Arabidopsis thaliana: one gene and its partners. The protein of the gene in region 1 interacts with the protein of each later gene in a biochemical or structural test. Each region holds a gene or a part of one and is shown in the gene's direction. Other genes may lie near its edges. The genes, in order: BSU1, CDG1 and CDL1.

What was found.
Region 2: of the proteins of BSU1 (region 1) and CDG1, one has a biochemical effect on the other in vitro, tested with the Arabidopsis thaliana proteins (one study listed by BioGRID).
Region 3: of the proteins of BSU1 (region 1) and CDL1, one has a biochemical effect on the other in vitro, tested with the Arabidopsis thaliana proteins (one study listed by BioGRID).

What each region holds. Positions count from the first base shown.
Region 1 is NC_003070.9:853,815-861,600, reverse strand, and holds BSU1 (Serine/threonine protein phosphatase family protein), read left to right. Parts: upstream 1-1,899; 5' UTR 1,900-2,001; coding exon 2,002-2,203; intron 2,204-2,308; coding exon 2,309-2,369; intron 2,370-2,521; coding exon 2,522-2,600; intron 2,601-2,750; coding exon 2,751-2,824; intron 2,825-2,907; coding exon 2,908-3,002; intron 3,003-3,384; coding exon 3,385-3,481; intron 3,482-3,560; coding exon 3,561-3,630; intron 3,631-3,801; coding exon 3,802-3,897; intron 3,898-3,972; coding exon 3,973-4,054; intron 4,055-4,163; coding exon 4,164-4,322; intron 4,323-4,507; coding exon 4,508-4,588; intron 4,589-4,760; coding exon 4,761-4,842; intron 4,843-4,949; coding exon 4,950-5,061; intron 5,062-5,156; coding exon 5,157-5,231; intron 5,232-5,306; coding exon 5,307-5,545; intron 5,546-5,657; coding exon 5,658-5,742; intron 5,743-5,814; coding exon 5,815-5,913; intron 5,914-5,999; coding exon 6,000-6,196; intron 6,197-6,270; coding exon 6,271-6,346; intron 6,347-6,434; and 9 more. Other genes in the region: AT1G03457 (RNA-binding (RRM/RBD/RNP motifs) family protein), read left to right, coding at 90-233, 323-492; AT1G03440 (Leucine-rich repeat (LRR) family protein), read right to left, coding at 7,727-7,786. UniProt on the Arabidopsis thaliana protein: Phosphatase that acts as a positive regulator of brassinosteroid (BR) signaling. Dephosphorylates BES1, a transcription factor that regulates the expression of BR-response genes, thereby playing an important role in the regulation of response to BRs.
Region 2 is NC_003074.8:9,936,038-9,941,294, reverse strand, and holds CDG1 (Protein kinase superfamily protein), read left to right. Parts: upstream 1-1,989; 5' UTR 1,990-2,358; coding exon 2,359-2,455; intron 2,456-2,768; coding exon 2,769-2,962; intron 2,963-3,063; coding exon 3,064-3,253; intron 3,254-3,338; coding exon 3,339-3,739; intron 3,740-4,171; coding exon 4,172-4,588; 3' UTR 4,589-4,713; downstream 4,714-5,257. Other genes in the region: AT3G26950 (uncharacterized protein), read left to right, coding at 1-93. UniProt on the Arabidopsis thaliana protein: Serine/threonine-protein kinase involved in the positive regulation of brassinosteroid (BR) signaling and plant growth. Mediates BR signal transduction from BRI1 receptor kinase to BSU1 phosphatase.
Region 3 is NC_003076.8:634,595-639,400, reverse strand, and holds CDL1 (Protein kinase superfamily protein), read left to right. Parts: upstream 1-1,832; 5' UTR 1,833-2,026; coding exon 2,027-2,135; intron 2,136-2,578; coding exon 2,579-2,760; intron 2,761-2,845; coding exon 2,846-3,035; intron 3,036-3,110; coding exon 3,111-3,502; intron 3,503-3,592; coding exon 3,593-3,856; 3' UTR 3,857-4,194; downstream 4,195-4,806. Other genes in the region: PRR7 (pseudo-response regulator 7), read left to right, coding at 1-128, 226-895, 999-1,118; GSTL3 (Glutathione S-transferase family protein), read right to left, coding at 4,543-4,545. UniProt on the Arabidopsis thaliana protein: Serine/threonine-protein kinase involved in the positive regulation of brassinosteroid (BR) signaling and plant growth. Phosphorylates both BSU1 and BSL1 in vitro.

The sequences.
Region 1 (7,786 bases):
GTTAGTCCAAAACAAGAACAAATAAGATTTTGATAAGTTTCTAGTCGTTATGTTACTGATATTTAAAGCAATTTCTTTGATGTTCTCAGGACCAGCAGGTGCGAATCTATTTATTTATAACATACCTCGGGAATTCGAGGATCAAGAACTCGCGGCTACGTTTCAACCTTTTGGTAAGGTTCTAAGCGCCAAGGTGTTTGTAGACAAGGCCACTGGTATAAGCAAATGTTTCGGTAAGCTCTTGCTTTCTTCCTCTATCATCTTCATTCTTTCCCCTAGACTCGAATTAACCGTTACGCAACCCTTTTGTTGCTGCACGCAGGATTCATTAGTTATGACTCACAGGCAGCTGCTCAGAACGCTATTAACACAATGAACGGTTGCCAATTAAGCGGTAAGAAATTGAAAGTCCAGCTTAAGAGAGACAACGGTCAACAGCAGCAACAACAACAGAGTAAAAACCCGTTATTTAACGGTTTATTAAACTCGTAAAAACCACTGACATCTCTTCATCATTAAGAGTTCGCTGTGCGGTTAACGGCAAATCCGGTTGAGACACTAAGATGGATCTTGATGGAACTGGAGAACAAAAAGTTGATGGCCGTAATTAACTAACATTTGCCAAGTCTGATCATGTGGGTCAGAAATTCTCAATCACTCAGAAAAGCTGTATCTTCATGCAAAAGGATTCTCTTCCACTCACTCTTCTTCTATTTTTCTCTTTTCTAAACTTTGTCAATTTGTGACTTATGTCTATCATTGAAAAGTTCATGTATAAATGTTATGATTATTAACCATTATAATTTCATTTATTAATCTTGTTCATTCTTAAAAGTCCCGTTCTTGAAGACTTCTTTAAGAATGTTTGATTGTAGTTTTTTTCCAGAAAATTGGAGGATTTTTCTCTCCTTGTTTTCTCTCTAACAGTATTGTTGTGCTTCTGCTCCCTGATGGATAAAACAGAGTCAACGATGTAATATATTCTTGACTATTAAGAAACTGCATATATACAAAAATGTTGCAATATTATAGATGAATTGATTAAAATGAATCAAGTAATGTTGAGTTGTTGACAATTCAAACATTTTATTTTCGTATCCTTTTTTTTTTAGTAGAGTAAAGATCAAAATATATAAAGAAATCAAAATGTTCTAAGACTTTAAATTTAAGTTTTTATATTAAATCTCAATATACAGCTCACATGTTATCATTTGGTAATTAAAATTATAGGTCCACATTTCATTTTAAAATTAAAATAGTCCTAATATATTTTAATTACTTTTAAAAATCAACAAAGGGTCCACAACTCATTAATTGATAATTAATATAATTATTATCTCTTATTTGGTATAATTAACTAAAAGGTCCACAATTATATTTTATATAAATGACTGTATATTATATTCTTCTTCTTTTGGCAGTAAATATATTTCTTATAAATGGGAGGTCGTATTCTTAAATAAATTACAATGAACATACATTTTTAATTAATAAAATAGATTGATTTTTCGGAAAGAAATCTAGTCATTATGAAAATTAGAGAGTTGGAAAACTTTGCTAAAACCTTAACTTTATCATTTAAAAATAAAATTAAAACAATAAATATACCAAAAAGTCTATTCCGGTCCGGTCGATAAAACTATCAAATTGGAGGAAACAATATACAAAAAGTCTCGAGAACAAGTATGCCGCGCACTTTTTAAAACGCGTCGTATTTCTATTTTACCATTTTGTACGAAAGGGAAAAAAATTATTGAACAACGACCAGCAAACGAGGCAATAAGCGCCATTCAAAGACTATATAGCGTGGGCATTTTCGTAATTTCACTAATCGCTTAGCCGTTGGACACCAATGCCATTCAAGAAATTTCGTCGGAGTCTAAACTTCATTATTTGCTTACCAAAACTAAAAGAGTGCGCTCGTGGACAAATTTTAGGCTATAAAATGGAGACGAAGGCGATTGGATTTCACCACCTTTCTCCACCACAAAATATTGTGTTATGGCTCCTGATCAATCTTATCAATATCCATCTCCTTCGTATGAATCGATACAGACCTTTTACGATACCGATGAGGATTGGCCGGGTCCTAGATGCGGCCATACTCTCACGGCGGTTTTCGTCAACAATTCCCATCAGCTTATCCTCTTCGGCGGCAGTACTACTGCCGTCGCCAACCATAACTCCTCCTTACCCGAGATCAGTAAGATTTTACTCCCGATTTTTCGAAATTTTTAGGGTTTTGAGATTTCGAGATCCTCTCTGATGATGATGGCTTTGTTTCTTGTAATGTGATTTGTTTTTCTAGGTTTAGATGGCGTCACCAATTCGGTCCATTCTTTTGATGTTTTGACCAGGAAGTGGACAAGGTAATTGAGGATCTTGATGTTTGTTTCTAGGTTTTTTTTTTCTTATTGATGATTTCAATTGGTTTAGAAGAGGTGGATCTTATTAGAATTTAGGAAATCATTTAGTTCATTATTCTAATAGGATCTCTTTGTAACGATTCGTAATTGTGTAGGCTTAATCCGATTGGTGACGTTCCGTCTCCCAGGGCTTGTCATGCTGCCGCTTTATATGGCACCTTGATCCTTATTCAGGTGATTGTCCGAGAACACAGATCTGGAAAGATTTTGTTTTAATTTGATTGTCATAGCATCGTTCATGAAGTTTACATATGTCACGATGGATGTTTAGGTTGCAATAGTCTATGATCTAACATATGAGCATGTCGTTTTTGTTGTTGGCAGGGTGGGATTGGTCCATCCGGACCTTCTGATGGAGATGTCTACATGCTTGACATGACTAATAACAAGTGGATTAAGTCAGTTCATTTATGAATTTATAAATCTTTGCTAGATCTATTTTGTTACTGAATTTTTTTTTACGCATTTAATGTCCGTTCAGGTTTCTGGTTGGAGGGGAGACTCCAAGCCCTCGCTATGGCCATGTTATGGATATAGCTGCTCAGAGGTGGCTTGTCATATTCAGCGGGAATAATGGTACGTCTATCTATGTTTTCCGCTTTCGTTTGGCATTGATATATGTTGTCTCTCTTTTGCATTTTGTAATCGTATATATAGCTTCAGTTTTCTGTTTAACTTATACATATCAATATATCATATAGTACATCCATAAGTAAGAAAACATTTAGATGCATGATATGTTTCCCTCAGAAAGGGAGAATGTCTCCATCGAACAAATTCCTAATCTATATTTGGCATTTCAAAATTATCTTAGCGAAACAAATATGTATATATCTTCCAACAATGTTTTCATTTATGTTTCTACGAAGGAACTTTAATTTCGGTTATCATTATCCTATTTTATTTTGTAAAAATGTCATATTTAAACATCCTAAAACGACTTTTGTCTATGGAGTAGGAAATGAAATTCTGGATGATACATGGGCATTGGACACGCGTGGACCATTTTCATGGGACAGATTGAACCCGTCTGGCAATCAGCCAAGTGGGAGAATGTTAGTAATTTAGTTGATTTAAGTATACTCTAACACATTGCTTTGAGTTATAACTCTTCATTGTTTAACATTTTTGTAGGTATGCTTCAGGTAGTTCTCGAGAAGATGGTATTTTTTTGCTCTGCGGTGGAATAGATCACTCAGGAGTGGTATAATATTTCTTCCCTAATTAAAATTACATAGATTATTTTATGTAAATAGGACATAGAAGTTTTAAAAAGTCGAAGTTCTTGTTTACTACAATAGCCAACCTTTTGTTTTTCCAATCTCTTTCATTGAATTGTGACATGTATATACACCCTAATGCTTGCCTTTTCCAGACACTGGGAGATACTTACGGGCTGAAAATGGATAGCGATAATGTTTGGACTCCTGTTCCAGCTGTAGCTCCTTCCCCGAGATATCAACATACTGCGGTGAGAACCAACACTTCCATGCTCTAATCCTATCTTTTGCAAAAACTTCCTTAACTTCATTGTCTCTCTTATTAGGTTTTCGGAGGTTCAAAACTGCATGTCATTGGGGGTATACTGAATAGGGCTCGCCTAATCGATGGTGAAGCAGTTGTTGCTGGTAAATATCTAACCGCTGTTTTCTAGAGAATCTGAGTTTGATCCTTATCAGATATATATCAGACTTAGTAGTGGATAATGTTATGGAAAAAAAAAAAACTTCCTTGCAGTGCTTGATACTGAGACTGGTGAATGGGTAGATACCAATCAACCAGAGACCTCTGCGAGCGGCGCCAATAGACAAAATCAATATCAACTTATGCGACGTTGTCACCATGCTGCTGCATCGTTTGGCAGCCACCTATATGTGCATGGCGGGATTAGAGAAGGTAGCCCTGAATTTTTAAATTATATTGACATTAAAATAAAAGGAACTTATACAAATTTTGTTTTTTGAGATGGATTTTGCATATCTTAGCACTAGTCAATTTCATTGTTTTTATTCATCTTCTTTGAGTTAAGGCAAAGTAACAATATTTATGACAATTCCATTGTTGTTTTTATTCTTGTGTAGATGTATTGCTCGACGATTTGCTAGTTGCTGAAACATCCCAGTCTTCAAGTCCTGAACCAGAAGAAGATAATCCTGATAATTGTAAAATCAAAGGAAACTTATATAGTTTTGACTTTCATATATTAGTCCTATGGTTTTTGCATATCTAAGCACTAATCAATTTGACTTTTTCCAAGTTTGCAGATTTCTTCCTTGAGTTAAAAGTAACAAAGTTTCTTTTAACAATAATTGCTTGAATTTTATTCTCGTGTAGATATGTTGCTCGACGACTATCTAATGGATGAACCTAAGCCTTTAAGTTCTGAACCAGAAGCTTCATCCTTTATAATGAGGAGGTCTATACTCGTACACACTTTTCTACACTCTTTTGTTCTGTGCTTAATCCTATATAGGTTTTTTTGTTTTTTTAAACAAATCCTTCTTTCTTCCATAATGATATCAGCACAAGTGAAATTGCGATGGATAGATTGGCAGAGGCACATAACTTACCAACTATCGAAAATGCTTTTTATGATAGTGCTATTGAAGGATACGTTCCACTTCAACATGGAGCTGTATGTGGAATAATATTTTTTTCCTTCACTCCTCTATCTTTCTTTATATAGAATGTTATATGTTCAATAAATGAGTGTTGGTTGTGATTTCAAAGGAGACGGTTGGAAATCGAGGTGGCTTGGTGAGAACTGCAAGCTTGGATCAATCTACTCAAGACTTGCATAAGAAGGTGTATATATATATATGATCTTGCTTTCAGCATATATTCCCATCTTCATGCACTTACACGTTGCTTGCTTTGCAGGTCATTTCGACACTGTTGAGACCTAAAACCTGGACGCCTCCTGCCAACAGAGATTTTTTCTTGAGTTATTTAGAAGTTAAGCATTTGTGCGATGAGGTAGAGAAAATATTTATGAATGAACCAACACTTCTTCAGCTCAAAGTTCCAATCAAAGTCTTCGGCGATATCCATGGACAATACGGGGATTTGATGCGTTTATTTCATGAATATGGACATCCTTCAGTGGAAGGAGATATCACGTAAGTTCAAGCTTCCTAGCATGTTTTTACTGGTTTTTGAGTTTTGTTCATGAATATTAGTCACTGAACCAATCGTTGTGTGTGTGTCTAAATATATATACGTCTTCATCAGCCATATAGACTATTTGTTTTTGGGAGATTATGTTGACCGTGGACAACACAGCTTGGAGATCATCATGTTGCTGTTTGCTTTGAAGGTAAGATATTCTTTCTTATATGTTATGACTTTTTGATTTTAGTATCTTCTAAGATCTGTCTCTTATACGCAGATAGAATATCCGAAGAACATCCACTTGATTCGTGGAAATCATGAGTCTCTTGCAATGAATAGAATTTATGGTTTTCTTACAGAATGCGAAGAAAGAATGGTACGTCTCTTCAGAGAATATATATTCTCATTGTCATTGGCTAATTAATGAAGTAACATATATAATCTTGTTCTGTACGTTACCAGGGCGAGTCCTATGGGTTCGAAGCATGGTTAAAGATTAATCAAGTTTTTGATTATCTTCCGCTTGCTGCACTTCTAGAAAAGAAAGTTTTGTGTGTCCATGGCGGAATTGGGAGGGCAGTTACGATCGAAGAAATTGAAAATATCGAAAGGCCGGCATTCCCGGATACTGGATCAATGGTCTTGAAAGACATCTTATGGTAACATACTCTCAACTATTTCTAACTTTTTTTCTTTCCAAGCTGTGTAATAACATTTTTTTATGGATAAACAGGTCAGATCCTACGATGAATGACACTGTTTTGGGTATAGTAGACAATGCCAGAGGAGAAGGTGTTGTCTCATTTGGGGTTAGGCCTATTCCTTATTTATCTTTTACTTTATGAATACCATTTTCAAGCTCAACTACTAACGCATATTCTTGTCTTATAAATGAAGCCTGATATAGTCAAGGCATTTCTAGAAAGGAATGGTCTGGAGATGATACTAAGAGCACACGAGTGTGTTATTGACGGCTTTGAAAGATTCGCTGACGGACGGCTTATAACAGTCTTTTCTGCTACAAATTACTGTGGTACATTTGTTATGTTTATAGAAACTTTCATTTATTTCGACATTTGCATACATATAATAGGCATGTGAATAAAAAACATTGTGTGTGTGATGAGCAGGAACTGCACAAAATGCGGGAGCAATATTGGTAATTGGTAGAGATATGGTAATTTATCCTAAGCTGATTCATCCTCACCCTCCTCCCATCTCATCTTCAGAAGAAGACTATACAGACAAAGCATGGATGCAGGTAAGCCTCCCGTTTCTTTACCATATAGAATAGATATTGAGCATATGAAACATGTTGTGGTAACCGAGCTTTTAAGTACTTTTGTGATGGACTCAGGAGCTGAACATCGAGATGCCGCCTACTCCAGCTCGAGGGGAGTCAAGTGAATAAAGGCAGATATTTGGTATAGAAGTTGTGCGGTTGAAGAGGTGTAAATGTTTCATTTGCAAGCTGCACAAGTGTACCGGAACCTTTTTCTTTTCATTTCTTTCTATTTTGGTATTGGCAGAGGACAATTTTAAAAGTGATTTTCTTTAATATACTTAAGTTTGGAAAACAATTGTTCATTATTCCATTTTGCCTGATTTATTTCTACTTTTATAATTTTAATAAATGGTTATGAGGTTGAAACTTAAAAAGCATATATTCCCATTCCATTCATTACCAAAAAAATATTCCCATTCCATTATCATTCTGATTGTTGTGTTCATAAATGTTTTGATTTCTAGAATTGATTACTCATTTATTTTCCTATGAATTTTTTTATTTCATTTGAACTGAAACTGCTTACTCATTTGTCATCTCCCACTCCTTTTTTTCTATTAAAACGAATTTTAAGTTATTACTTTTCTGAAAACAAATTTTGGTAAACAAGATCATTCATGAAACCATTTTGAACACTCTTCAATAAAACAAAACCATCATTTTCCAATTTTAAATACGCAGAAACGATGGATAGTGGACAATCTTCATCCTCACATCAATATAATCCTTATTCCAAAGACACTTGTACACACCAAAACTCTAATCTTCATTCTCACCAACGAATAAACGAATCGTTTTTTCCTTTAAAAGTTTTTTTTTAACACGATGAAACACTCTGTTCCTCAAAAACTTTAACCAAAAAAATAAAAACATAGTATTATATAAGAAAGCGTAATTTACCAAACTACCCTCGCCACTCGGTGCATTGTGTAGTGGGCCTAGTCTTTTGTGGGCCGGCCTTTAG
Region 2 (5,257 bases), on another chromosome or scaffold:
GAGCTTTCCGGGTTTGGTACGGTTAACGAAGACCGGTTCCACGCCTATTGTAGCGCCAAGAAAGAGTACGTAAGCACTGTAACAATCATATAATGACTTCTTGAAAAAGATTCTGGACTCTTGGTTATAAATGGACTCACTGGTTTTATTCTTCAAATCTACTTCCCCTTCTTTAATTGAACCGGCCATATCAAACTTTTTGTTCTAAATAACCGGACCCAAACCGAATTAAGCAAACCGAACGCCCAGGCCTACGAGTAACTAGCTGGCCTCTTGGTTCAATATATGGTTTTACTACTCCCTTCTTAAATTGAACCGGCTTTCTTACCAGGTCTAAATAACTAAACCCAAACCGAACTAACTAATTAAACCGAAGTCAAATATATCCAGCTATAAGTAAGAGAAGACTTCTGGTGTTTATTAGAAACAAAGTAAGATTAAGAGAGGAATAAAGCTGGTGTCAGACATTAAAGATGGAACATCATCTCGTGGAATCAAACTTTTCCTAATACAAAAATTGATTCTCGGTTAGTGAAACTTCAATTTACTACCACTTGCAGATTGTTAATTTCATTATTATTATTCTCGTCGTTAGAAATTTGCTACTAACATTGCAAGTAGGTTCAGGTATAGGTGAGAGCTAGTTTAAGATGGACAAAACTAATTATGTAAGTAGTTCTTGTAAAATATGCATTTTAAAGGTAACAATTGCTATTTTGGTGTAAACTTTTGTAATGACTAAAAATAAATAATTGTGATGGAAATAAAATCTGATTACAAAAAGATTTGAGAACGTCATGATTCATTCATAATCATGTACTGTCTACCATACTTTTTATTCTACGTACTACCATACAATCTCCAAATTTTAAGAGTGGTATGGCTCCATGACTCACATCACATGATTTACATTACATATTGTACTAATGTCAGAACCTTAACCGATCGTAAAAACCGATCAACAACGTTAACCATCATTATTGACCGTTATCTGTCGTCATAAAATCTCGGCCAAGGCTTCTTTAAAGTCTTGGCTAAATCAAAAACAACTTTTGAATTTGAACCTCATAGTGGAGCTAGAGAAGAACACAACCAAGAATCAAATGTGTATACGTTCGTATAATTAATACTTGTTAATACTGTTTCCCTCTCCTCTTTCTTTAGTTTTGTTAATTACTAGACTTTTATGCACAAAATGATAAGAATGGAGTCATAAAATCCATAGAAACCATAAAAAAAAAGTTCCGATAATTATCATTATCGTATATTGAATAATGTGAAATAGAAGTTGAATGTGTTTCCAAATTTGGTTCGGAACTGTCTTATGTCTCAGACAGAGAATCTTTGATAAAATCTTTTAACTTACATTGCATGGATATATTGGCCTAAATTTTACCATTATCAGCGTTCCTTTTAATTTTGAGGTTAAACATAGGGAAAAGCATCTTGCCGTTTTCATCGTCTGTTAAAAATTATTGAGTTTTAGACTGGGAATCTTTAATACTTGTAGCTCACGTTACATGAATTTGTTTATCAAAATTTTGTTATTCTCTGCGGTTTTTGCAATACACTTAAAAATTATTTTGCACCAAAACCAACCAACAAAAAAAATTCTTCAATGAATTTCAAAAACGTTGATAATTTTTTTGTCGTTACGTCTATAGTTTTGGGCCTTTTTTGAATGCATAACAAACATAGTTATCATCTAATATATCACTATTAGAATTTAGAAATACTTAACGTGAGGATTATTTTCTAATTTTTGTCTTAAAAATTAGTTTAAATTCAGAATCCAACATTTATCACAATTATAAATTCCAGGGATATAAAGGAGAAACTTACTATAAAACAATTAACATTGTAGATTATTACCCTCAATGGCATAATAAAACAATAAATGATTTTATCTCATAGAAGCAATTGGTGAGTAACGTACCATATATATTGCACCCCCATGCTCTCTTTTGTTGATTACGTGTCTTTCCTTCCTATCAAAACCCCTTCAACCAAATCTTATCTAAATCCCCCAAAATTTTACGAAAACTCTCGATTTTAATCTAAATCTCCTTCCTTATCACCTCACAAATTTCTCGTGTTTTTTTGTAATCAATTTTTGATGGAAAATTATTCCCAAAACTCGAATCTCTGTTGATCGTGTGTTTCTTGGGGTTCGTCTGATTCCTTCAAAGTTTTCATCTTTTTGATAACAAAACCGTTAGTTCTTTGTCCTCGTGTGTGATCATCTCTTGAGCCCTATTGATAAACCATATAGAGAGTGTATGTGTGTGTATATCTTTGTTTATTGAGTGACACCAACAACAAAAAGATTATTTTCCTTGAGATTGATTAAAAGAAAACATGGTTAGTTGCTTGTGTTTTCGTCCCAGTCGGAAAACGAAGCTCAAAGACAAATCTCATAAGAGATCCATACGTAACCAGACATCCTCCTCTTCTGGTTCCTCTCACTTCCCTTTGATCTTTTTATTATTATTTATAGATTAATCTTGAGATTAGTCATCTTTAATACCAGTCATTAGTAGTAAATCATGATAAAATCTCCCTTTTCTTTTAAATAGCTTATTTATTAATGATACATATAGTATTTGTCTTGTGATTAGTTTATACGGATCGTACAAATCCCGGCTTAGGGTTTGTGTTTTATAGTTCAAAGATTTGTGTATTTGGCTGATAAATGTCTTTTTAATCTACTTGTGATCCAATAACATATGTGATATAGTCTCTCATTGTGTTGTTTTGTTCCTCTGTAGCCCAACCAGCTGGAACAGCAAAAGAAGTAGATTCGTCAAGTTCACAAACCGTAGTGCAAGATTCTTCTAGATACAGATGTCAGATTTTCTCATACAGAGAACTCGCCATCGCGACTAACAGCTTCAGGAATGAATCTTTGATCGGAAGAGGTGGATTTGGAACTGTGTATAAAGGAAGGCTAAGCACTGGACAGGTAATCTATTATTAACATTTGGACTAATCAAATCAATAATCTTGTCGTTGTGAAATCTCTAACTGTTTGTCATTGTGCTTTGTTGTTGGTCTTAATTCAAGAACATAGCTGTTAAAATGCTTGATCAGTCTGGTATTCAAGGAGACAAAGAGTTTCTTGTGGAAGTCCTAATGCTCTCGCTCTTGCACCACCGAAACCTAGTGCATTTGTTCGGTTATTGTGCTGAAGGCGATCAAAGACTCGTTGTCTATGAATACATGCCTCTTGGATCTGTAGAAGATCATCTCTACGGTAAAAAAAAAACTACACTCAAACCAAGAAATTTTCAAGAACGAGATTCATTAAAGTTTTTTAAATTCTTGTGTTGTTTTGTCAGATCTTAGCGAGGGTCAAGAGGCTTTAGATTGGAAGACAAGGATGAAGATAGCTCTAGGAGCGGCTAAAGGGTTAGCGTTTCTTCACAACGAAGCACAACCTCCTGTGATATACAGAGATTTGAAAACTTCAAACATATTGTTGGATCATGACTATAAACCTAAGCTCTCAGATTTTGGACTTGCAAAGTTTGGTCCAAGTGATGATATGTCTCATGTCTCTACTAGAGTTATGGGAACTCATGGGTATTGTGCACCAGAGTACGCGAACACCGGGAAGTTGACGCTGAAATCTGATATTTATAGCTTTGGAGTTGTGCTGCTGGAGCTTATCAGTGGACGCAAAGCTCTTATGCCCTCATCCGAATGCGTTGGTAATCAAAGTCGCTATCTTGTGCATTGGGTAATCCTCTCAACCTTATTTTGCTTAAGGATGGATTAGTTTTTTCCTTATGACCATTTATAGGCTTTGCTTCTTTTAGACTATATAACCAGATTATATCTATCTAAATTCCAATTTTGCTTAAGAGAAAAATTGTTTTGATGGTGACCTTTTGGTCGATTTTGCATAATTATACCGTTTACGATTTAGGGTTTAGGGTTTAGATTAATCAATTAACCATTAAACCATATGCTATCAATTTTGATTTTTCGTAAAAATGGTAGTGGTTTTACTATTGACCTTTAACCATATATAGGTTTTGATTTTGGTTATGCTGATGAAAAAGAGTTTCGTGTTATGGCCCTTAATGATGTGTGGATACGTATTAGACTAATGAATGTTCCGATTTTGATGACGACATGTTCATGTGTTTCTTTTTTTTTTTCTTAACAGGCACGACCGTTGTTCTTGAATGGCAGAATAAGGCAGATTGTAGATCCAAGGTTAGCAAGAAAAGGCGGTTTTTCGAATATACTTCTTTATAGAGGTATTGAAGTGGCCTTTCTGTGCCTAGCAGAAGAAGCAAACGCTAGACCATCGATCAGCCAAGTCGTGGAGTGTCTTAAGTATATCATTGATCACACAATTAGGAAGGAAAGGAGAACTAGGCGTAGACTACTAGGAGGAAATAAGGATGGGGCGGGGACATCGAGGTCACCGGATGAGACAATGATGAGGATGTTAGAAGAAGAAGAAGAATACGTAACTAGTGAAGAAGCTATTGAGAGAAGGAGGGTAATCGTGGATGATGCTCGTACTTGGGCCGGTATGAATAGGAGAGGGGCTACGCCACCAACTCCGACTCCATGAAAGTGAAGTAAATTTTTATTAACTTGTTTTTCAAGTTATATTTGGTTAAGTTTGTTTGGTGAGACTATTGTTAGAAACCAAATTTTGTTAAAACATTTAAACATGGCAATTTAGTTAATACTAGATTTATGTTTGTTTTTATATATGTACTAACATCAAATTGATTTCTTACAAATTTCATCTGCTTCAATAACTTCGGTTTATTTAATTCGATTAAGATTTTGTTTCATAACAAAAAAATTAATATTTTGGACGTAAACTTTTTCATTTCATTTTTTTTAATATTTAATTTTATTATATTGAATCAAAAATTACATGGTTATCAATAAACATACACATACAACCAATATTTAGGTAAAACAAAATAATCGAAAAAGTAAAATCGCACGTTGCTTCTTTCGATAGGTAGGACTTATATGCTACCAGAGAAATAATTCTGTTACTTTTTTTATTCGTTTTCATCTTTGATCTTCTTTTTTTTACTATCGCCTTTTTGATGAAACTACAATAAGTTCTTCAAAAATTATTAGTTGCGATCCATCTGTTACATCGCAAATCATACAAATTTTTTTTAGTTGTAGAAAACATGATTGTTTATATAGCGACTTGTTTTCCATATAGATATTCCTTCTTCACAGCCTCCAACACCGGTATCATGACTCCCCAACA
Region 3 (4,806 bases), on another chromosome or scaffold:
AAAATTTCTGAAGAGCTAATGCACGTGGAACATAGTTCAAAGAGGCATAGAGGAACTAAAGATGATGGGACACTAGTTAGGGATGATCGGAATGTGCTGAGGCGTTCAGAGGGCTCAGCTTTCTCAAGGTACTTTCTTAGAATCAAACCTCTGTTTTTTCTTCCGTACACAACCTTTTGAATGCCTTATTGAAGAACTATGAGATCGACTGTTGGACTTGTGCAGGTATAATCCAGCCTCAAATGCCAATAAGATTTCTGGTGGGAACTTAGGAAGCACTTCGCTTCAGGATAATAATAGTCAGGATCTTATAAAAAAGACTGAAGCAGCATATGATTGTCACTCGAACATGAATGAGAGTCTCCCCCATAATCATCGCTCACATGTCGGTAGCAATAACTTTGATATGAGTTCCACGACTGAGAACAACGCTTTCACAAAACCAGGAGCTCCAAAAGTAAGCTCAGCAGGATCTTCATCAGTGAAGCATTCATCGTTTCAGCCTTTACCCTGTGATCATCATAATAATCATGCCTCCTATAACCTTGTCCATGTCGCTGAGAGGAAGAAGCTACCGCCACAATGTGGATCCTCAAATGTGTACAACGAAACGATTGAAGGTAACAACAACACAGTGAATTACAGTGTGAATGGAAGTGTATCAGGTAGTGGTCATGGAAGTAATGGGCCATATGGAAGCAGTAACGGTATGAATGCTGGAGGAATGAATATGGGAAGTGATAATGGTGCTGGCAAAAATGGAAATGGCGATGGTAGTGGAAGCGGAAGTGGAAGTGGTAGCGGAAACTTGGCGGATGAAAATAAGATCTCTCAAAGGGAAGCTGCTTTGACAAAGTTCCGTCAGAAGAGAAAAGAGAGGTGCTTCCGAAAGAAGGTAAATTCTCGGTCAAATCTATAACAAAGGAAAAAAAAAGTATTCTTGTAAATTGCGAAAGCAAATGCAAACCGCAAAAATGTTTTTTTTTTGGCTTTCTCAGGTACGATACCAAAGCCGGAAAAAACTAGCAGAACAACGCCCTCGAGTGCGAGGCCAATTTGTGCGTAAAACAGCCGCTGCAACTGATGATAACGACATAAAAAACATTGAGGATAGCTAACGGAAAATCAACAAAACCCACTATTTCTCAGCCCAAAAACATGAGTAATGTGCTCATATCTATCTTATATATATATATCTATCACATGTTTTAACATTTTCCCTTCAAAGTCTGATTCTTTGATAATACTACTACTATTCACGAAACAAAGACACTACGACATTTGATTGTTTGTTATTATTGTCGTTGTCTGGTCTGGTTTGTGAAATTAGGACGAAGGGTTTGGTTTCAGGATGTAGTGAAATCTTTGTAGATGTTGTAAACTTGTAAAACAATAACCCCTTCTCTGTATATTTTTTGGTATAAGCTTGCTTTTGGAGCCGTGCATAGTACGGTGTCGTATTGTATCAACATTATCTCTTTCAATATCATTTAGCTTATATCGTAAATATATATATTCTTAGAAAAAATCTGTCTTTGATAAACACCATTTTAAAATAGGAATAATCAATCTCTTATACCCAAATGATTGGAAACTATAATGGTGACCACGATTGTTGCTTATTAAAGTTCAATTTCAATATTGTTACAACTTACAACACAAGAAATTTATTCAATCAAATAATCTCTTTTTGTGTGTTGAAAAGAAATTTAAATTCCATGGGGGTAGTTAGTTGATACTACTTTGATAAAATATAATTTTTGTTTGTCTTTTTTTCTTTGACAATTAATTTTTATTTGTCAAAGTCAAACCCATTCACATTAATTTGTATCACAAAAATTAAATTGTTTTAAAAATATATTTTATATCAAAAGAGAAAAATCGAAAAATCCAGCGATTGGCTTGGCGTGCTTTTTTTACATTTCAAAGTTCTCTAAGCTTCTCTCTCTCTCTCTCGCTTTTGAGATCATCGAACACAATCGAAACGAAGAATCATTTGAAGAAGAAGAAGATCGTGAGAAGCTTAATGGGTTGGATCCCGTGTTCTGGGAAATCGAGTGGGAGGAATAAGACAAGGAGGAACGGTGACCACAAACTCGACAGGAAGTCTTCTGATTGTTCTGTGTCTACTTCAGGTAATTTCTCTTTATAGTCTTTGTCCAATTTTAATTCTGGGTTTAACCTTCTCTTACTAAATTATGGAAATTTTTATCCTTTGCTAAAACTTTCTGATTCCTGTGAGCCATCATCGTTTGCTAATGCTGATTAGGGTTTTTGACTTTCTGTTTAAAGATTGCTTTTTTCCTTCCATTTCACTAGCTTTTGACTACTCTGTAACACCTGTGTTAGTATTTTGACAGTGATGTGTTATTGCATGTCTCTTTCCTGTTAATTGTTGTTATTGCTCTCCAGTGGAAGTTGTGGATTAAACTCTTAAATGGGACTTGCTAGATCCTTAAGTATCTTGCTATATTCTTAGAACTTTAATTTGTTGATTATTGACCTTGAGACAATTATGCTCAGCTTGTGTTGATTAATTATTTCTTCTTATCGCTTTCTTTTCTTTCTTTTTTTGTAGAGAAATCTAGGGCCAAGTCGTCCTTGAGTGAATCCAAAAGTAAAGGCTCTGATCACATTGTGGCACAAACGTTTACATTCTCTGAGTTAGCTACTGCCACTAGAAACTTCAGAAAAGAATGTCTTATAGGAGAAGGAGGATTTGGTAGAGTTTACAAAGGATACTTGGCCAGCACTAGCCAGGTTCCTTCCCTTTTTTTTGCTTGGTTTTAACCTTTTGAATCTTCTTGGTAGTGAAAGCTCACTGTCATTATATCTTCATTTGTAGACAGCGGCTATCAAGCAACTTGATCATAATGGTTTACAAGGAAACAGGGAGTTCCTCGTCGAGGTTCTCATGTTGAGTCTTCTTCATCACCCGAATCTTGTTAACTTAATAGGATATTGTGCTGATGGAGATCAAAGGCTTCTAGTCTACGAGTACATGCCCCTAGGTTCACTTGAAGATCATTTGCACGGTATGCGCTTCTAAGATCACACATGCCTATGAGAAGTCTTTAAATTTCAATCGGGTGATGCTTTTTTTATTTCAGACATTTCACCTGGTAAGCAGCCACTTGACTGGAACACCAGAATGAAAATAGCTGCCGGTGCTGCAAAAGGTTTGGAGTATCTGCATGACAAAACCATGCCTCCAGTGATCTATCGAGATTTGAAATGCTCAAATATTTTGCTCGATGATGATTACTTTCCAAAGCTATCCGACTTCGGGTTGGCTAAACTTGGCCCAGTTGGGGACAAGTCTCATGTGTCCACTCGGGTTATGGGAACATACGGATACTGTGCTCCCGAGTATGCAATGACAGGCCAGCTAACACTCAAATCAGACGTTTACAGCTTCGGTGTTGTTCTGTTGGAGATTATAACTGGTCGGAAAGCAATAGACAGTTCAAGATCTACTGGAGAACAGAATCTAGTCGCATGGGTAAGAAAAAAAAACAAATTGGGAACAAACTTTGTTTTCTCTGCGGATTCTTCCTTCTAATTGTATTCTTTGAAATGCTCTCTATGTCAGGCAAGGCCTTTGTTTAAAGACAGGAGGAAATTCTCTCAGATGGCTGATCCAATGCTTCAAGGTCAATACCCTCCGCGAGGGTTATACCAAGCACTCGCTGTAGCAGCGATGTGCGTACAAGAGCAGCCAAATCTTAGACCTCTCATTGCTGACGTCGTCACTGCACTTTCTTACCTCGCCTCCCAAAAGTTTGATCCTCTGGCTCAGCCAGTCCAAGGATCCCTTTTCGCTCCAGGGACTCCACCTAGATCAAAGAGGGTCTGAAAATAATCCCGAGAACCGCAATGCTGTGTAAGTTATGTAGCTTAAACCCATTCCGTGCTGTCTTTCTTGGAGAGGAAAGGTGGATGATTTTCAGACTAAGTGTGAATGTATGGCTTAAGAGCTACTTGTAGATATGTGTAAGAAGAGATAGATTCATATAGAGGCCGGTTTATAATGTTGTTATAGGTGATGTTGTTTAATGTAATGTTTATTGAGCGCTTGCTTTCAAATGTGACAATTTCTCATTATTGTACTGAGGATGTCTGCTTCGATTCCAAAGTTATTGTATAAATATTAAAGTACTATAGTTTTCAAAACTTTAATGTGTGAGATTTTGATTGTATTGATATCATATTACAATGTCAAGGATTGATTATTGGTGAACAGTCAAATATAGATCAAGCTGTTGCTGCAAGTTAACTATACACCTTATCCTTATTGCATCATCTGGTTCTTAATGTGTGAGATTTTGATAGTATTACTATCATACAGTAATATATTAACAATGTCAATGGTTGATAATTTGATCAACACTAGAATACAGATTAAGCTGTTGCTGCTTAAAGTACAAATCTTATTGCATCATCAGGTTCAAGTACACATCTTATTTCTTCATATCCAAAGACCACCTGTTCGTACAAGGTGGTTTGGTCTCATACACTTTACTGCTTCGTGCTTGCTTACAGTTACTGCAAGAATATAACCGGAATTAGACTCACATTTAGTATAGACCATTAACCGAGAAAGTATTAAACAAGTCATTTGGCCATAGTAATAGGCTAGCTGATGATTAGTGCATGGTCTTTGCTTTCAAAACGTCTAAGTCGCAAAACGCTCGTTGGAGAAAGATGAGATTGTCTCTGAGCCAGATGCTAAACCGACTCGGTTTTCATTCCCAAAACAGAAAACTAACCCAAAGCAACGAACATTCACACCTAAACAACCAGATG